Linked DNA regions of Struthio camelus. The protein of the gene in region 1 binds, or shares a complex with, the protein of each later gene. Links are inferred from orthologs where the notes say so. Each region holds a gene or a part of one and is shown on either strand. Other genes may lie near its edges.

Region 1 (10,197 bases):
GATCCCTATTAAGGTTTACCAGGGCAACTTAGAATTCCTCTCCCAAGAGCAACACCAACACCGAGGCCTCCCTGCTTTACTGCAAACCATGTTATATGCCTAGTTGTTTCCACTTTCACGGATATAATCACTGTTATGACCAGATGCCCTATTATGGAGTATAAGTGTAAATAGTTAACAAGATCTGTGCAAAACCACACTGAAGAATCAGAAACCACACCAAAACATTCAAAAAGAAGATAACACATTCCTTTAACATCTTTATTTATAATGGTAAATGAGTATTTACAACAACAGTAGAGAGCAAAGTGGCTTCAGTGAGAGCCAAAATACTTGAATCTCTATATAGGTGGAATCGACTCAGTCAAAAAGTTAATGGCCGATAAGAACAACGAACGGGAAGCCTGAAAACAATTCAGCTAAATACATTGGCGAATCTCACTGAAAAAGACAGTTTCTGTTATATATTTACCTTTTAAAAACAGCATGCTTACTCAGCAGAGAGTGACCTAGCAATCAAGTATGTCTCCAAGCATCCTGAGCCCCTGTCAACCTTACCTAATCATAAGGGATCTCAAAAACAATACTTTCAACAAGCTGAAATACCAAGAGTTTTTCATGTCTTTCTGTGACTATTCCTTCTTCAGGTGCTGATGCAAAAGCATCACTGCACTTTCAAACAAACACTTGCAAACTCTTTTTCAAACTCTTGCATGTGACAGAAATATCAGCTAGCCACTGCTGATATTGCTTAACCAAAGGCCATTGCTTAACCAAAGAAAATAAGTACTGTCCCAACATGTAATGCTGGATTTGCTTAAAAAGAACCCAGTAACTGCTGTTGCATAAATGCAGTGGAAGAAAAAATAGCTTATTGTGCAAAACCTCCTCGAGAGTAACTATTTTCTTTAAGCTTCATTTGGCAACCTGAGGCACACAACCCCCGCAAGCGGCTACCCCAGAGCTCGGTGACGGGGCACCCAGGGCCCGACGGTGGGCAAACCGGAGCCGTGGCCGGCCGCTCAGGGCACGGCACGGCACCCCGGGCCCACGACGTCGCAGCCTTAACGGCTCTGGCCCCGAAGAGCCGAGAAGCCTGACCCATCGTGCTCTTCACCCAGCTAACTGGAAGGAGGTTTAAAAATGGCACCGTCAGCCACACGAGCGCCTCAGCCGCCGGGAGGCTGGTTTCAGGCTCCTCACTCGCGACACCGTAGCGAAGTCCAGGCTATTCGGGAGCCCGAGGCGCGAACCGCGAGGGCGGCCGGGGACGGGGCCCGGGGAAGGAGAGGCCCCCGGCCCAGGAAGGGGCAGGGCCGGGCCGGGCCGCGGGACGCCGAGCCCACGCGCGGAGCCGCGGCCCCCCGCGGCAGAAGGGCGGGAGCCCCTGAGGCGGCAGCGACACGCGCCCGGCCGCTCCGTACTCACCCAGCGCGCGGCGCGCAGAACATCACCCGACTTCCAGGAAGCCCCCTCGGGGCGCTGGGCGGCGCGCACCCTTATTGGCTGCGGGCGCCCCACCCCCGCGCGCTATTGGAGGAGAGCTCTCCCCCTCAAGCTTTCATTGGCTGGCTGGCCCGTCGCTCAGACGCTGTTGCCAGGGTTGCTCGCGCACAGGTGTCCGTTGGGCTCCTCCCCCTCCTTCGCCCAGTTGCCCCAGGCGCCATGGAAGGCCGTGGAGGGCCGTGGGCGCCCTTCGTCCCCCCCGGGCTGTGCTGGCCCCACGTCCCTGGCGTCGCCTGCGGGGGGAGGAACGGGGCGCTACAGCTGCCGGTGGGGGTGTTTGGAGCCCGCCAGTGCTGGGGGCTTAGAGGACGTTGCCTTGCGGCATGGCGCCGGGTCCCTGCCCGCCACAGTGGGCGCCCGAGGTGGCGTCTGGCGCTGTGCGGCTGCCCCGGCCTGCTCTCACTGTGCTTTGTTTCAAGGTGTGAAGTAACAATCTCAAAGGGACAAGAGGCCCGATCCGAGCTTCAGAGGGCTCACGTAGCTGAGGACTGTTACGCCCAGGACAGGGTGAGTTTGGATCTAGCTACTGAACCATTTCTGGAACGAGGGCACTGCATGGGGTGTGCGTCCAGGGGACTGCGCTCAGGAGAGGCACAGCTACCAGAAAGGCCATGGAGTCATCGAAGCAGGGCAGCTTTTTTGAGGATGGAGGAAAACACGAGTGACAAAGTCAGCTCTGCTTTCAGTTATTAAGCGCAGCATGATCAGAACTGATAAACCTTTGGTAATTTTACATGGAACAGATTTGAACTGGGATTGGACCAGCCCTACCTCTTTGTCCTTTCGCACTGAAAATACTGACTCAGCTAACTTACAGGTTTTTCAAACAAGATTTCAAACCTTATTTCTGACTTTTTCACAGGTGGCAATAGAGAATTTCAGTGGAGCCTATAAATTTAAAATTCTTTATGGTAAACTCTGTAAGGAAAAAGAGTGATAAAAGCCTTGACTGCTCTTCTGGGTTATAACAATAATATAAAATAAACACAGTACACAAAAGATACGTAACACTAATGCAAATAAAAGACCTCCCCAGGGCTATATGAGTAGGTAACGTGGCTTGCTAGGTAAAAACTCTCATCTCAGACTCAGAAAACCTGAAGTTAATTGTTAGCTTTACCACTGGTCTGTCATATGACATTGAGCAAGTCATCTCAGTACTTTTTCCATCTTCAACATGGGGATGATAACATTGACCTTCATAAGGTCTTTTGAGATCTACTAATGAATGTGCTGGGTAAGTATATTATCATCATTACTGGTACTATTGCTTTTGAAACACAATGATAGATTGTATTTATTATCTACATATACACCAACCTCAATACATATAAAGCAAAAATAGATTTATGTTTTCAGTTACAGAGCTGTTATTTAAAGCAGTTATCTGACTGCAGAAGTAAACAAATTATACAAATCTCTTAATCTCTGATTGATGAAATGCCTGCATGTTAAATGCATAAATAGTTCTTCGCTGTCAAGGAACTGTTACACCACTCTATATCTCACAGCATAGGCTTATCACAGCGACCAGAAATTATTTAACTTCTATGCTTAGTGCCATTAAAAATCCTCAGATTATCATAGGTCTGCATATCTTCAGTAGGAGTTATGTCCCTGGGGAGAGGAAAAATAAAACTGTCTGTCGGCCTGAAACTTAATGCTGTTAGTTTTTACTCATAATAACCTATTTTTAATGTATGTGTGAAGTTAGAATAACTTCAGAGTCATTAAAAAACTTTGTTTTTTTAGGATCCTTCACAAAAGCAAACCACTACAAGGATTTGTGAATACTGGATTTGGTGGCCGTTCAGATTCTTCCTTCTATTTCCTGACTTTTTGTTCTGCCTAACAGACCCTGGTCAATATCGTCCTTCTTTAGACTCCATCTTTGGAGATCTCTGTATAGCTTCCATTGTCCATCAAACTTAAACAGTCTAATCCCAACTGGACAATGGTTCTGTATCCATTTTAATTATCATTAGTGAAGAGACTGGTAGTAGCTAGGAGCGCAGAACCTCTGCTGGAGAAAGCTAAAAAGCAGAGAAAAAGCTCGGAGAAAAGCTTGCAGAATTTTTCGTGGTCTCAAAATTTGAGAGAGAAATAGGCATTGTTTAAAAACCTTGTTCTATCTTGTAAGTGTGTAAATGAATGTATGTGTCACATAGAATGCATAAAACACACCTTAAATGGATTAAATATCTTTTCATTGAGAGCTCTCAAATTGTAGTTGATAAGGGGGAGACAGCAGTGACCCAGGCAGAGCTTTCTAGAAATCAGTTCTTGAGCTGGTAGTGTCCAATAGCTCTATCAATTATCTAGATGGTGACGTGAAATCCTTACAAGTAAAATTTGCAAATGACAAAGCTTAGTATATGAATGGATAATTCACATGACTGATTAGTTACAGAATCATCTGATGTGCCTGATTAAATCATCCCAGTCCAATAAAATTCATTCTAATATTGGAAAATGCAAGCAAATACATCTGGAAATAAAGAATGCAAGTGGATTGCTACTAGCTTGGCAAGGAATAATTCAGAGTAAGAATTTAGCTGTCGCTATATATAAATGTTTCAACATGACCTCTCAGGATAATACTGCGGTAAATTGGACTGATGTAATCCTGTAATGTATAAAATATGGAATATACAAGAGAGAAAGGGGAGTGACATTGCCTTTGTCCAAGCACTGCTAAGAGTAGCATTAGAACACTGTGCCATTTCTGGCATCCACAGCTGAGGAGGAGAAAACACTAGAAATAATTTAAAGGAGGAAAATAAACATAATGAAGGGAGAGATGACGAGATGTAAAACAGCGTTTTAGGAAGGGTCTTAGGAAGCTCAAGTTATTCCACTTATCAAAGAGAAGGCTGAGAGGTGACTTGACCACAATGCATAAAAACCACTGCACAAGAAAAAGCTATCTAAAAGTTAGGTGCTTTTCAGCCTTGGTTCAACACGGAGATCAAAGGGTGAAAAGGTTAAGTTAGCCAAATCCACCAGCGATCCCTGGCCAGAATTATCTGTCCACAGTCCACCGGGTTAGTTAGTTCTCTGTCAACAAGCGTTTTGGACCTAAGTTGCACTCAGCATCTCCCAGTCTACAGCTGGAAAAAGTACAATTTAGTCTCCTAAGAACAGAACTCTCATAGCTGTACTGAAGCCCCTGGGCCTTATGTATTAGTGTGCTGGAGCGTTTAGTGCTGTTGACGCGCAAGTCAAATTAGATGACACAACGGTCCCCGCTGCTTCTGATGAAAACATACCGTCAGCGCAGGGCTCCTGGAGGGAGCGGGCGGCATCCATCCTGGCAGCAGCGGCAGAGCCGCGCGGCCTTCTCAGCCGCGTGCAGGCTGCTCTGTCGGCGCCCTGCCGCGGAGAGTCTCTGCTGCCAGGAGGCGGCTTTGCCTCCCGCAGCTCCTGCCCTTCGCAGCCTGCGGGAAGGTGCCGCGCCCCGCGCAGTGCCGCCCCGCGCGCCGCGGAGGGGGCGGGCCGCGCCGCTCGGACGGACAGCGCCGCTGGCCAATGCCACGCGGAGCGGCCGGCCGCGGCGCGGCGCGGAGCGGAAGGGCACCAATGAGAGTTCGGTTGCTGGGCGCAGCCGGCGAGGACTGCCCAATAGGAAAATTCGCGGCGCGGGAGCCGCGCGTCGGTTCGTGTGCCGGCTGCAGACAGGCAGCGCGAGGCAGGGGCCGGCGGCGGGAGCGTTGGTGGCGTGTGGTCGCGGCCCCGGCGCCCGCTGCGGCCCAGCGCCGGGCCCTGTGGCGACCGAGGAGGGCAGGCCAGGATGCCTCTTCCCTGAGTACTTCTGCCAAACGTGAATGTTGAGGAACGATTAGCGCCCGCTTAATAAAAGAGTTGGAAAGGCGGCCACCAGCGCGGCCCGAGTGGGGAACGCGCCCCCCCCCGCTCCCTGTGGGCCTCCCTCGAGGAAGGCTCAGCCGGGGCAAACTTCGCGGCCGGTTAATTTTTTAATGCCGTTTTTCAGCGTCGCCCTTGGTCGTGTTTTTGAGGGTGGCCTTCGGGGCTGTAGAGAGGAGCGCGCTCCTCAGGAGGTGGCGAGCGGCCAGGCTGGGGCGCAGGAGCGGGGACCCGGAGGCAGGCCTGCAGCAAGCTTGGGTGCTTGGTAGAGAGCGGAAACCGCCCGCGTGGTTTTAGAGTGCAGCTAAAAATAGTAATTAAATAAAAAAAGGTAAATGCAAAAAATGGGTTAATGATTTGCCCCCCCCCCCCCCCCCCGCTCGTTGGATAAAGATGGTCTTGGCTACCCTTTGTAAATAGGGAGGAATGTGGAGGTGGGAGGGGAAAATCAGCCCGGCTCCGTCGACGATGTTGCCTCGGCGGGCAGGGGGGCGGTAGCGGGGCCGGGGCAGCCGGGCGCGGGAGCCGGGCACCCGCCGGGCCGCGCCGCGCTGCACCGCGCCGGGGCGGGAGGGCGGCAGCCGGCGGCGGCACCTCGCAGGGGCGAGGGGAAGGCGAGCGGTTTCGTCGGTGTGCTGCTGAACGATTGCCTAGTGTTTTACTGAAGAGTTTTTCCCCCCCCCTCCTTTTTTGTACACCCGCCTCCTGTGATACCGTGAAGCCAGCAGAAGCAAGGAAAATAAGGGCAGAGGACTAGGAGCAGGCGGAGGAGATGGTGAGCAGCGCGGTGGGCTCGGGGGGATGAATGAGGTTGCCGGGCTGTTTTCTGTGAGAGATCTCGTAGGATGTAAACCACCTTTGGGATGGTTTTGCATCACGATTGCATACTAGCTTTCTTTGTTTGCAAAATGTTGTCGTTTAGGCTTTAACAGCGCTCTTCGGTTTTTTGTGAGGTACGCAACGAGAGGTTGATATGTACGGATGGCTAAAATTACATGCACCAGCGACACACGCATGCTACCACTAAACAAACCTACATTGTCTGTGTTAATCCTGCAATGTGACGGGTAGTTCTTCTCATGTAGGGAAGTCATTGCTCAGGTTATTTGTGGCATGCATAGGAGATGAGTCTCTTTGTAGCAAAGAGCAAACAAAACTAACCTATTCTTCACAAACGTGAAAAGGTTTAAACCTATTACAGTCTTAACAGACAAAGTAAATTTTTCTTGTTTTTTCTTTTCATTTTCCCTGAAGTACTGCTGTGCATGATTAAAATCTAATTAATGTTTGCAAAACTTGAAGAACTCTTTAAAATGTCTAGTTTCGGCATGCAAATAGTAAAGACCCCTTTCTCCCTTATACAGGCAAGTGTTAAAAACGTGGAAGAGGGAATTCTTACATCTGCTTCGTTTTTTACAGTGTACTCTTGTGCCTTAGGTAGGTCAAAATACAAAATTGGATTCTTAGCATTGTAAAAAAAAAAAAACTAAGCTGATTTTCAAGGCAAGCAGGAATTTTGTTTTGATGCTAGTAATATTTAAAATACTAGATAGAAGTTTATGGGGAAAACCCCTATTTTGTATTAATGAGAATGATTTATGGTAAAAATCATGATCCCGAATGACAGAATATTGACATTGACTGATTGTATCTTCCCATGGCTAAAATGCTGCAGCCTGTATTAAGTACATCACCCCTTTAAGCTTCTATGAGTTTAAACATCTTGTTTACAACGTTTTGGAGGACTACATGGCACACTAGTGAAACCTGAAATTCTGATGGCTTTGAAATATCACAAGGCAGTGTAATAAAGATAACTGCAGTTTCATATTTAATCTGCTTTGGAATAAATGATGATTTGTTATATGAAATAATACAGCATATATATGATGACTAAAGTAACTGAAAGGGCTGGATAGTTCATAGTTTCTAGAGGAAAAAATAAGTTGTGAGGTATGCTACACTCCTCAGCATGCAAGATATTTGGATGGATGCGTGTTAAATTTATTTTAAGCAACATCTCTGTAAATGCTTGTCTGAAATATTTAAATTATACGCTCCATTAGGCAAATGGTTTTATCTTTCCATTGCTTGGCTAGAGGAATGTATTGAGAAGGCGAGGTTTAGAGGAACAATACAGTTTGACCGCATAGTTTCACTGCATAGTTTATCCTCGTGTATTGTTCAGAGATGCTTAGATGGTATTTTATCTGACATTGGTTGTCATCGTAGCAAAGTTGACTCTGCTGATCTTATTTTTTTTATTTTTTTATCCTGTAGATGCTCTCAACATGAATAACTGAAATTCAATTAATGTCACTATAGATTTGATCTAATATTTAGACATAATTGATGAAAAACAGTTCCCACCTTTGATTTTCATTCCTTCACTGCAGGGATTTTGAATGGATTTTACTCTTAGCAATTCTTTAGTATTGGAAGGACTGATAGGAGTTAGAAATAAAGAGAAATTCATCCTATATTTAGTTAGGACACTGCACTGGAAATGGCAGAAATCCTCCCTTTACTTATACTTTAAATTTTGTTCAAACCGCAGCTTAGGGATGATATTTTATCCTGAAGGCCATCTGCATGCATATAACAGTTATATAAAGCTGAGCTTCTGTATCAGATTTTATGTAATGCAACACACTATATTTCTGCAGTGTTTTTGATGGATTTTACTTAGTGTCTGAATTGATATACTGTGAGAAAGCCTGTTAGACTTCTTGTACTACCAGATTTATAATTTGTTGCTCTTAATATTTTATTGTGTGAGTATAAATCATTGACACCAGTGTTGTCTCTTGCTTAGCTGTAACGGCATTTGTTTACTACATCTATCTTATGCCTTTCCAGTATAACCAAAATATGACAGTATCTTGTCCAGTGTGAATGCGTTCTGTGACTAGTAGCCATCAAAGCAATCTTCCAAGCAGGAGGTTAGGTCAAATTTTTTACTCTCTTGCCCCTCTCTACAAAAAGAGAAAAAGGTCAGCTCCAGGGTTATACCAACATGCACAGGAAAAGAGTTTCAAATGCATTGGATTCAGTTACAGTATTTTGACTTTATATGAGTCACCTGGAAATTAGCACTGAGCCTTTTTTTTTCCTTTAATTAAAGTGTCCATGTTTTTACAAAATGTGTTCTTTCCATAATACAGAACACTTAGGACACACGTGGAACTAGGCAAACATTGTATGTCCTTCAGAAAAGGGGCATAAAGGCATGATGTTGCTAAAGCGTTAAGGACATGAGCAAGGAGATCTCAACTGTTCTCTTAAATTCCTGATTGGGTATGGTCCATGTGTGTCCTGAATGTGGTTAGCCACATATCTCAGACATTTGAAAAAAGTAGGAACTGACTGCAATATTTTTGATATCTCTCAGCTAATTTGTGTAAAAGAAAGCCAAACCCAACAAACTGTGGCGCAAGTTTTCTTCCCCCATTAGTTCTTTCACTCTTACTCTCACATTTCACAGGCGACCAAAAGTAAACCACAAAGCTACTTCTGGTTCCATATGCTGAGGTTCTAGGGTTCTAGCTCTTCTGGGTTAGCTCTGGCCACGTTCCTTTTAAGTAGTATCCTAGACAAATAACTTGGCTGATTTCAGTGACTCTTGCTCTTTTTGAGTGTCTATTTTTCTGCAGTGTTATAGAACAGGTGGCTCAACTTAGTAAGATCCAGCCTTTTGAAGGTCTGGCAGTCAGCCTTATGGCAGTCACATTTTCAAGAAGTAGCATTTTGGTGTATACGCATGGCTAATCATTTAGTAGTAAGTGGACAGTGTCTATTATTCATCACTAATTTATATACACACTCACGACACAAAGTATCGTTTTAGAGTCCTGATTAGACTCATTGATTGCCATTGTTTTTTCGGTACAGTTTGACATTTTTATCCACCAAAATACGTGCCCCTTTTGGAATGTCAGTTAATCTTAGAAATTAAAAATGTGCAAGAGACCCATTAGGAAAATATGTATGGGTGACATTCCTAAATATTTTAATCTCTCGTAGAGATCACTTCAGTTTAGCTAGTTAGGCCTATATCTAGTCACTAGGCTACAGCGTTCAAAGAACGTGACTGAATATATCTTAACATTTGTCATTACTTGAGGCATACCGATATTGAAACAAACATCTTCTCTGTGAAGATAATGAATCTTAGCTAAGGAACACACCTTGAGGAATTTTTGAATATTGAGTATATTTTTTAAGAGCAAAATTAGGATTGTAGATCACAGGTTCCAGTTGAGCAGCCAGAGAAAGTAATTGTCATCCAGCAGTTGTGTAACGGCTGTTGAAATGAGAGTGGTTGATTGTGGTTTAAGAGTCTGATGGGCAAGTCCTCACAGTCCTTCACTGTGGTTTCGGAGATCTCAAAATTTTGTTGACCCAGGAAAGAAATGATTGTCAGTTTAAGAGGTGGCTCACCCATTTTAGAGGCCAGGTAGGTTTGGGAAGCCTGTAGAGATTCTCTCCCTCCTTCCGTATCTGTATGATCAGAAGTAAATCTTCCATCCTATAAATTTATCATGTTTTTTGGCTATTAATTTACTTACAAATAAATGGAAACTACAAACTGGATGTTACATAATTATTGAGAAGAATGGGACCATATAAAGTAGAGCTTTTACTACAATCTCATAAAGGCTATGGAGAAACCTAATATTGGGAGGTATTCGGAATTATTTTAAGATATTGGATTAGAGAAGTATTTTTCAAAGGAAAATATTGCTTCTCCTCCTAAGCAGAGACTCTTTAATACTTCTTACTGATAGTACTATGTTTTGTACAGCTTTTACAGAAATCAATAATCAT
Region 2 (10,697 bases), on another chromosome or scaffold:
CCTACCTTTGATGCATCTATGACAAAACTGTGTGCTACGTTCGCTATAAAACCATCAACGTGGACTCCCAAGTCACTGCAACACAAAGAGTTAATTACAGGTGAGGCCTCACAACGCAGGAAACTTGTGCGACTTCTAAAAGTATTAGCAGAGTCTCAGGCATGTTTCAAACGCTTTACTAATTAGCCAAGCCAAGGAAGGATTTAACACACCAAGTAGTATTAACGAGCGAAGCCCAGATGCTGACAGTAAATTCATGAGAAATATAACTAAGATGCTTACATTTTGACCAAGTCTCCGTCTTTGAGGATGTAATCTTGGTCACTCTTCAAGGGGGAGAAGTGACAGACACAGTTATTTACCGATATACTCGTTGGGAAGGCAATACCTATAAAGGGAAAAAGAAATATTCCATAAGTCTAGCAATCTCACACGCTGCACAGGCACAGACAGCAGCCCTGCCACTGTGGTTTGTCACTTAGGTTTTAGTCGTTTAAGCATCGTAAAACACTCCATCCATTACCTAAGGCTCTAGCCAAAAAGCCATAAGGAATCTAGCTTGCGGCAAGCTCCTACACTGGCCTTCTTTTTGTCCAGACAACCATCAAAACAAATACATCCAAGGCAGTAAGACACTTGCAAAAGGGACCTCAATTCTCCAGAACACAAATCACGGCGCTTTCAGTGACACACTCAAGTGTCACACAATTTCCATGGCAACTACAGACCAACTATAACCATATAGCAGGTCTTCCTGAAGAGAGGACGTTGTCCAAAGTAAGTCTCATTTCAATGTGAATGATTGGGTAAATCAAAATGGGAAGCTCAAGCTTATCAGTGATGCTTATGAACAGGGCAAGCAGGACGATTTGGATCAAAACTGGTTTTCTAGGAATGGTGAAGTATTTCTTACGCTAATTAGAGCAGAACTGTGCTTTCCATGCTGCTACTCATTCATGCCAGCCACCAAACAACACAACAGGACAAAAAATATCCTCATATTGAAAAAGTTTCTTTGGAACAGGCCTCACCTTTTTTCATTTCTTTTTCCTTCTTGAAAATTTTGCCAGTCTCTTCCATGATCATGGCATCTCCCTTTTCACACAAGCAGAGAACTGATGCTCCAGAGTTTGCTGCTTCAACCACTGCACGCAGGACCCCTTAATTCAAACAAAAAGCTGTTGAAGTACGTTCACCATAAACAGCCTTAAAACTAACAGCAACCCTCATCACACAGCCCCACGGTGAAAAAAGAAATATATCCATCTGTTTTCTAAAAAGGGACAAGACTGTTAGCTCAGCTTTTCACCAAGGACATAAGAGAAATCCCATTGTAATTTTTCGTTTTAAGAACTGACTTTCCGGGAACACTTTCACAGAAAACATGAGCAAGCAAACATACATTGGGATTTGCACAGGTGAAGTGCAGCAGTTTCAGACACCCATCTATACGCTCGCAGGTCTCTTAAACAAAGAGGCCAAGCAGAAACATCACTCTCCCACATTCTTTCCAGAGAAGTCAGAGCTTCAGAAACAGGTTTGAAAATTACTTGGGAGACAAAATACACAGCACATCAAAAGAGCAGGGGGCACTGTTGTGGACGTGTAGGACTATAACGTACAGATCAACAGAAAGACTTTGCTTGGCTCAAGAGCTGGCACCAGCACAGAACTAGCACAGCAAAGCCAGTTACATTAGCCTCTTTGCAGGAGCACGTTTTAAAGGTAACCCACGCTCCTCCTCTCAGTCACGAAGGCCAGGCAACACAAGCAGCTTACAGCATGCTTTCTGCCATCAGGAGCTTTACGTGCCTTGCTCCGCACTGGAGGTTAAAGAAAGCTTTGCTGCCTGTTTCCTGAATGTTGCTTGCATCTACTTTTGGACGTATTCTAGCTTTGTGCCTAGGAGTCTCATCAGCATTTTGATTACACCATAGCAGACAGCGTGCCTTATAGTATAAATGGGTAAAGGAATGTAAAAGCCACGGCTCGCGTTGAAATCCTGCAGGCTCACATTCATAAACACATTGCGATGGTATTCTAGGAGTAGCAGCCACGAAGGCCCAGGAGCTGCTGGAGCAAGCCACATACGTCTTGACTGCCTTTCTACCAGTCAGCAGGCCAGGAGCCAAGGCACTGCCTCTGTCACCGGCTGACTAGCTGCTATTCCCCTCTCTTCTTCCTCTATCAAACTGGATACAAGTCTTAAAGCTTATCCTCTAAAATGTTTTGGGATCCAGGGATAAAAGGTACACATGCAGTTTCTCCTCGCTCTGTGAGCGCACTGTTTTTACAAGAGGCTGTTTTGGAAGTGTCTCTATTTGCTGGGAGTTTCTGTTACCGATAGTGTGTGCTCTAGGTACTACAGCAATAAATACTTCTGAAGTGCTTAAGACATTTACAAGCAGATGGTTTTTCATAGTTTCTTTGACATAGAGTAAAAACCAAAAATCTTTCACCTGCATGATTGAATTCAATTTCAAATGACTTCAAGCAGTCATCTTTCCATGCGTCATAGATGGTTATGAATTCGGAATATTTTACAGTACAGATAAAACTGTGATAAAAAAGACATTTAGTGGATAGCAGGACACAGAGTTGAAAATAGAAAACGTCAAAACAAACACAGCAGAAAGATAAATGGAGAGCCGTGTTCATCAGAGCATTAGAATGAAACCAAAAAGCAGAGAGTGTAACAGCACTGACCAAGGAACATCTCTTAATTGTATTCTGTCCTTCCACAGGGCTTCATTTAGGAATTAAAAGCACTTTATGTCATTAAAGGCACGTCACACTGACAAGTACCCAAGACATTTTGAACTGGAAAGCCTTTTTGTCACAGTTCTGGATTTGATGTTCCCAAACACAGTCACAACACTACCAAGAGAGAAATGCTGCGATCAATCCACTTTTCCTCTCCGGGAACGGGGGTGTCCCCTCCGTGTAGCTAAACCTGTGGCATAACCTCTCTGCACCTTGCTGTTACATCCGGTTTGCCAAACAGCCAGTGAAAAACCAAAGAACCGACCTTCCTTCCCCAAGGGGGGGAACCTTTCCCCCCCGCCCCAGAGCAAAAAGGTATAGGGCCAGGAAAACACCAGCTAGCAACCCTTGTACCAACTAAAACATTACTGCAGCTTTCAAAAACCACGTCTTTCTCTGGAGCTGCATCCCAAGTTACTATGAAGAGCGATGACTTAAAAAGAAGCATTGGAGTCAGCAACAATTAGTGCGGCGTATACCACTACTGAAGCTGCTCCTGGAGCGGCGGGGACCTCATAAAACCGGTCCAGTTAGCTCTTTAAAACAGCTGTCACTTTTCTCGAGGGGGTTAACTAACCACCCTTAATGATACAGCAAAAACAAACGCTTAAAACAAAAACTAAAAAAGGGGAGGGGGGGGTGTTGGAATAACGCGAGGCGACCGAAGTTTGCAACACGCATAACACGTCTGACGAGCCCACGCCGAGCCCCCGCGCCCGGCTTGAGGCGGCTGCAGGCCCAGGAGCCGGCGGAAGAAAGGCGTTGAAGCCGCCGGCTTTTGGGTAAAAATAATAATAATAATAAAAAAGATGGGGGGGTGAAAGCGGCGGTGCGGCTTCCCGGGGACGTTGGCACAAAAGAAAGGATTTTTTTTTTTAAAAAAGGGGGCAGCCCCGACGTGGGGGGTGTGGGGGGGGGCAGGATGCGGGCAGCGGCGGCGCCGGCCCCACATGGCCGGGCCACGCGCCCGGCTGGCGGCGGGAGGGCGGGCGAGGCCGAGGGGCGCCGGGCCCGGCCCGGTCGCCGCCGCCGCACGTGGGGCGGGGAGGCCACGTGCGGGAGCGGCCGCCGCGTGGGCACCGGAGTGGGGGGGGGGGGCCTTCCTGGGCCGCCCCCCCCCCGCCGCTGTGGGTGGGTGTGTGTTGGGGGGGGGGTGTTAGGCCTCGCCGCCCACCCCGGGCCCCGGTGCATCCTCCCCCGCCTCCCGCCGCCACCGGGCAGGCCCGCCCCCCCCGCCCGCCCGCCTCACCGGCCGCGGCCCGCACTCACGGTTGGCGATGTCCCCCCCCATCTTGTACTTGGTCACCACCAGGTCCTCGGCGATGGTGAGCTCGGCCGCCTCCTCCTCGCCCGACATGGTCGGAGCCGCCTAGGCCCGGCCGCCGCCGCCGCCGCCCCCCTCCTCCTCCTCCTCCTCCTCCCTCCCGGCCGCCGCCGCCGCCGCCGCCGCCGCGCTGAGGAGACCCCGGGGAGCGCGAGCGAGAGAGCGCGAGCAGGGCAGGAGCGCGGGCTCCGCGCGGGGCACGCTGGGAAGCCGAGTCCCCGCCCCCCTCCCGCGCCGCCGCCGCCGCCGCCCGCGACTACAGCTCCCGGCGGGCCCCGCGCCCGCGCCCGCGCCGACTACAGCTCCCGGCGGGCCCCGCGGCTCTCTCGCGAGAGCGAGTGGGGAGGAGGCGGGGCGGCGCGGCCGGAAGTGGCGCGGAGGGCATTCTGGGAAGTGTAGTCTGGGGGGTGGCGGGTGGGAGGGCAGGGCGCCCCCCTGCGGTGTGGGGGGGGTTGTGGGGGGGAGTAGCGGAAGCCCCCCCCCCCCCCCCCGGCACGGCCGCTGCCCCCAGCCCCATGGCACTGGGCCCTCTGCCCCACACCGCCGGCCCCAGGCACTGCTGCCAGCCCCAGCCCCACGGCAGCCCCCTGCCCCACAGCACCAGCCCCTATCACTGCCCCAGCCCCATTGCGTCCCCCTGCCCCATGGCCCCAGCCCCATTACCTCCCCCTGCCCCACAGCCCCAGCCCCTGTCACTGCCCCCAGCCCCATTGTGTCCCCCTGCCCCATGGCCCCAGCCCCACTATCTCCCCCTGCCCCACAGCCCCAGCCCCTGTCACTGCCCCCAGCCCCATTGTGTCCCCCTGCCCCATGGCCCCAGCCCCACTACCTCCCCCTGCCCCACAGCCCCAGCCCCTGTCACTGCCCCCAGCCCCATTGCAGCCCCCTGCCCCACAGCACCAGCCCCTGTCACTACCCCCAGCCCCATTGCGTCCCCCTGCCCCATGGCCCCAGCCCCATTACCTCCCCCTGCCCCACAGCCCCAGCCCCTGTCACTGCCCCCAGCCCCATCGCAGCCCCCTGCCCCACAGCCCCAGCCCCATTGCCTCCCCCTGCCCCCATCCCCACCCCCCGCCCCACAGCCCTGGTCCCTGCCCCACGGCCCCTGCCCCACACAGGCGCCGGCCGTTCCTCGACTTCCCTTTGTCTTTATTTAGCTTTTAACAGACAGACGGGACCCTCGGCCCCACGGACGGGCAGGGGCACGCGGCGGCGGCACCGAGCCGGGGCGGGGGGCAGGCGGGCCCCACGGCGCCCCTCCGCCGTCCTCCGTCCCCGTCCCCCTCCAAAGCCTTCGCTAAAGAAGGGGAGACAATCGCAGGGGTTTTATGTTTTTGGCCCCGATTGCGGGGCTGCCGCCCCACCTACCCGCGGCCTCCGGAGGGTCGTTACCCGCGCCGGCGGCCCCTCATTAACGAGGAGCATCCCAAACCTGCGCGGCCAGCCTGCCACCGCTGCGTGGGGGGGTGCCGACATCCCCCCCAAACCTTCATCCCGGCTCCGGCAGGGAACGGGGACACCTGAAAACGACTTTGGCTTCCTTCTGGCCCAGAAATCCTGCCGATTCTGCCCAAAAGGCAGCCCCCACCCCGCCCCGGCTTCGCGCTTCCCGCAACAGCATCGGCTTTGCCGCCAAACCCCAGGAAAACGGGGCTTTCCCGCGGCCGGGCTCCGCCGGGAGCCGCCTGGGGAAACTGAGGCATGGAGCGGGGCCGCCCCGGGGAACGGGGGGGGGGGGGTCCGTCCACCGCGCTTCGGGCCCCCCCTTGGCCATCGGGCTCGTGCCCCGTGCCGGGCGCGCACGGGCTGGGGTGGGGGGCGAGCGGGGTGGGTTTTTTTTTGGGGGGGGGGGACGACCCCCTACGTCCGCTGGGCGTCCGCCTTGGCGAAGAGGCGGCTGTGCCAGTAGTCGGGGTTGTCGAAAGCGCAGTCCGAGGCCTCCAGGCTCCGCAGGGGCTTCATGAAGGGGGTCGGGGGGCCGGGGGGGCCGGGGCAGCGGGCCAGCCGGGGCGCCAGCACCGCCTCCATCTCCTCGTAGCCCTGCTCCTCGGCCGCCTCGCCGGGCCGCATGTCGGTGTAGCCGTCGTGCCGGGGGCCGGCCACGCTGCCCAGCGAGCGGCTCAGCCGCGGCTGCTTGTTCATGTACTCGTAGTCTTCCTCCTCCTCCTCTTCCTCCTCCTCCTCTTCCTCCCGGCGGCCGGGCGCGGGGGCCGCCGGGGCGCCCGGCTCCGAGCCCACCTCCATGTACTCGTAGCCCAGCTCCTCCAGGGAAGCCGGCCGGGCGCCGGGGGGGGCCCCGGGGCGCCGGTTCATGTACTCGTACTCCTCCTCCTCCTCCTCCGGCGCCGAGCCCCCGGCGGGCTCCGGCTCTGCGGGGCGTCGAGTGAGACGCCGGCTGGGTCGTCCCGCCCTGGAGCCTGCCCCAAAATGGCCCCCCCCCGCCCCGGGTTGTCCCCCTGCTCTGCTGGGACGGACCCGACCCCCCCCCAGCCCCATGGGGATGGGAGCCCCCCAGCACCAGTCCTGCAAGAACGGACCCCCCCCACACCCTGCATGCACAGACCCCCTCCGACCCTGCACTGATAGACTCCCCCCACCCTGCATGCACAGACACCCCCCCTGCACTGATGGACCCCCACCCTGCCATGACAGACCCCCATCCTGCATGCACGGGACCCCCACCCTGCAATGACGGAGCCCCCCCAGCAATGTCCCCCTGCCGTTCAATGATGGACCCCCCACCCTGTATGCACAGGACTCCCCACCCTGCACTGATGGACCCCTCCCCCCAACCCTGCATGCACAGGACTCCCCACCCTGCAATGGCAGACCCCCACCCTTGCATGCACGGGACCCCCCACCCTGCATGCACAGGACCCCATCCACCAATGACGGACCCCCCACCCTGCAACGATGGATTTCCCCCCAGCAATGATCCCCCCGCAATGATGGATTCTGCATGCACAGGACCCCCACCATGTAATGACAGACCCTCCCCACCCTGCATGCATGGGACCCCCCACCCTGCATCCACAGGACCCCCCATCCTGCAATGACGGACTCCCCACCCTGCAACGATGGACCCTGCATGTGCAGGACCCCCACCCTGCATTGATGGACCCCCCCGCCCTGCATGCACAGGACCCCTATCCTCCAGTGACGGACCCCCACCCTGCATGCATGGGACCCCCACCCTGCAATGATGGACCCCCGCCCTGCATGCACAGGACCCCTATCCTGCAATGACGGACCCCCACCCCGCATGCATGGGACCCCCACCCTGCAATGATGGACCCCCGCCCTGCATGCACAGGACCCCTATCCTGCAATGACGGACCCCCACCCCGCATGCATGGGACCCCCGCCCCGCAACGATGGACCCTGAATGCACAGGACCTCCATCCTGCAATGATGGACCTCCCAACCTGCATACACAGGACCCCTGTCCCGCAATGACGGACCCCCACCCTGCATGCACAGGACCCCCACCCTGCAATGATGGACCCCCACCCTGCATGCACAGGACCCCTGTCCTGCAGTGACGGACCCCCGCCCCGCAACGATGGACCCTGCATGCGCAGGACCCCCAGCCCTCGGCGCCGGCCCCCTCACCCCGGGCGGCGCAGTTGGGGGCCACGTAGCCGTTGGCGTCCTCCTCGCTGCCCTCGGTGCTGGGGGGTGGCGGGGGGAAGCTCTCGCGCTGCGACAGGTAGGCGCTGTCGCCCCGCGAGCGCAGGCTGCGGCAGAGGCTCCCCGAGAGCGACAGCCCCTCGGCCAGGTCCAGCTCCGACGCCGTGCCCCGGCCCTCCGACGACTCCGACACCGTCCGCCCCAGCGACTCCTGCCGGCTGCGCCGCGGCGGCCGGCCCCCGCCGCCCTGGGGGACACGGGGCTGACGGGGGGCTCGGCCGACCCGCCCCCCCCGCCGCCCCCCGCGCCCCCCGCCGCCCCGCGGTACCTGGCGGCCACCGCCGAGGCCGGGCTGGTTCATGGGGATGTAGCCGGCCGGGGGGCTCAGCAGGCTGGGGCTCTGCGGGGAGAGGCGGTGGGTGACGAGGCCGGCCGGGGGGGGACGGACGTGCCTGGGGCCTGGGACCCCCAAACCCTGCCCCGTGCTGTGCCCGGGACCCCCTGCCCCATACCCTGCCCCACACCGTGCCCAGGACCCCCTGCCCCATGCCATGCCCTGTGCTGTGCCCAGGACCCCCTGCCCCACACCGTGCCCAGGACCCCCTGCCCCATGCCATGCCCTGTGCTGTGCCCAGGACCCCCCTGCCCCAAACCCTGCCCCACACTGTGCCCGGGACCCCCTGCCCCACACCGTGCCCAGGACCCCCTGCCCCACACCGTGCCCAGGACCCCCTGCCCCATGCCATGCCCTGTGCTGTGCCCAGGACCCCCCTGCCCCAAACCCTGCCCCAAACCCTGCCCCACACCGTGCCTGGGACCCCCTGCCCCAAACCCTGTGCCATGCCCGGGACCCCCTGCCCCACACCATGCCTGGGACCCTGTGCCCCAAACCCTGCCCCACACCGTGCCTGGGACCCCCTGCCCCATGCCCTGCACCCTGCCCCATACCCAGCACCCCCTGCCCGGGATCCAGTCCCGGGGTGGCCAGACCCCCGGCAGGGAGCAGCGCGGGGTCTCACCCGGGCAGAGCTGCCCCGCGGCCGCGAGGGGTAGAGCCCGGCGGCGAGGCCGAAGGAGGCGTCCAGCTCCTCCTCCTCCAGCTCCAGCGTCTCCACCTCGTCCAGCTCCTTGTCGCTGAGGGTGGGGGGCTCGGCGGGCGGCGCGGCCCCGCTCTCCTGCCGCGGGAGGCCGCGTTAGGGGCTGCGGCCCCGGGGCCGGGGGGGGGGTTTGGGGGGGCCCGCGCTCACCTTGATCACCAGGTAGCGCGGCGGGTCGCGGGCCATGCGGGTGAACTCGTTCGCCAGCTCCTTGAAGGTGGGACGGATGTTCTCGTCGATCATCCAGCCTGCGGGCAGCGCGGCCGCTCAGCCCCGGCGCCGGCACCCCGCGGACCGAGCGAGCCGGGATGCGCCCTCGGGGGCTGAGCTGGGACTCAGCACCAAGCTGGGACCCTGGACACCGAGCCAGGACCCCAGGGACCCAGCCGGGACCCCGGGACGGAGCCGTGCTGTGCCCCTGGGATGGAGTCGTGCCGTGCCCTGGGGACCAAGCCATGCCGTGCCCCTGGGATGGGTCCAGGCTCCCGGGATGGGGCTATGTCCCTGGGATGGAGCCGTGTCCCCCCCGGGATGGAGCCACGTCCTCAGGATGGAGCCAGGCTCCCGGGGACGGAGCCATGCTCCCGGGATGGAGCCATGTCCCCTGGGATGGAGCTGTGTCCCCAGGATGGAGCCGTGTCCCCAGGGAGGGTGCCGTGTCCCCAGGACGGAGCCGTGTCCCCAGGACGGAGCCCTGTCCCCGCACTCACACTTCACCATGACCATGTAGACGTCGATGGTGCAGATCTGGGGCTGCGAGAGCCGCTCGCCCTTCTCCAGCAGGTCGGGCACCTCGGCGAGCCGGATCCCGGCGTAGGGCTCTGCCCCGAAGGTCATCATCTCCCAGAGCGTCACCCCTGCGGGGACAGGCGCCCGTGAGCCCCCGCGCGAGCGCCGTGGGGCCGGGGCGCCCGCGGCCGTGCTCACCGTAGCTCCAGACGTCGCTCTGGTGCGTGTACTTGCCGAAGTGGATGCTCTCCAGGGCCATCCACTTGATGGGCGTCTGCAAAGCAGGAGCCGCGTCGAGGGGCGCAGGGGGCCGGGGGCAGGGACAGGACCTGGGCTGGGGGTGCTGGGCCAGGGGGTGTCGGGGACCCGGAGCAGGCAGGGGACGCCCCGCGGCGCGGGGGGGGCGTCGGGGACCCGGAGCGGGCAGGGGACGCCCCGCGGCGCGGGGGGGGCGTCGGGGACCTGGAGCGGGCAGGGGACGCCCCGCGGCACGGGGGGGCGTCGGGGACACCCAGCAGGTAGGGGACATGGCACCCCGGGACACAGGGGGTGTCGGGGACCCAGGGTGGGGGGGGGACATGGCACCCCGGGGCCTGCCGGCGGGCGCCCACCTTGACCTCGTTATAGAAATACTTCTTGTCGTCGGGGTAGAGCAGGTCGGCGATGCCGAAATCGGCCACCTGGGCCTGGCTGGGCGACTTGAGCAGCACGTTGCGGGCGGCCAGGTTGCGGTGCACCATGCGGTGCTCCTCCAGGTAGTACATGCCCTGGGGCGGGGGGTCAGCGGGCCGGCGGGGGCTCGGGTGCCCCCCACCTGCCAACCTCCCCCCCCCCCGGGGACTCACCTTGGCCACCTGCACGCACCAGTTGAGCAGCAGCTGGGGGCTGATGCCGTCGCGGTTCTTGCGGACGTAGTCGAGCAGGGAGCCCAGCGGCAGCAGCTGCGTCACCAGCTGCAGCTGGGCGCCGGGGCAGATGCCCAGCAGCCGCACGATGTAGGCATGGTCCAGGCTGCCGATGGCCAGCATGTGCTGCGGGGGCACCGTCAGCAGCCGCCGGCCCCGGGGAGGGCGGCCGGCCGGCCCCGGCGCCCCGGGCAGCCGCACTTACGTCGGTGACGGCGTGGAAGGACTGCTGCCCGCTCCAGTCCTGGA

Evidence for each region.
Region 2: ARVCF (region 1) and PA2G4 share a complex: the UniProt entries of both Homo sapiens proteins name them as parts of the ribonucleoprotein complex. The link is inferred for Struthio camelus from reciprocal best matches to the Homo sapiens genes ARVCF and PA2G4.

The regions. Positions count from the first base shown.
Region 1 is NC_090958.1:11,441,882-11,452,078, reverse strand, and holds the start of ARVCF (splicing regulator ARVCF), read left to right. Parts: upstream 1-5,963; 5' UTR 5,964-6,145; intron 6,146-6,734; exon of another isoform or gene 6,735-6,807; intron 6,808-10,197. Other genes in the region: TANGO2 (transport and Golgi organization protein 2 homolog), read right to left, coding at 4,776-4,811. UniProt on the Homo sapiens protein: Contributes to the regulation of alternative splicing of pre-mRNAs.
Region 2 is NC_090969.1:602,966-613,662, forward strand, and holds the start of PA2G4 (proliferation-associated protein 2G4), read right to left. Parts: upstream 4,306-10,697; 5' UTR 4,121-4,305; coding exon 4,033-4,120; intron 1,161-4,032; coding exon 1,032-1,160; intron 389-1,031; coding exon 283-388; intron 76-282; coding exon 6-75; intron 1-5. Other genes in the region: ERBB3 (receptor tyrosine-protein kinase erbB-3), read right to left, coding at 5,948-6,456, 7,700-7,979, 8,046-8,117, 8,737-8,892, 8,965-9,062, 9,525-9,671, 9,742-9,817, 10,155-10,310 and 2 more. UniProt on the Homo sapiens protein: May play a role in a ERBB3-regulated signal transduction pathway. Seems be involved in growth regulation. Acts a corepressor of the androgen receptor (AR) and is regulated by the ERBB3 ligand neuregulin-1/heregulin (HRG).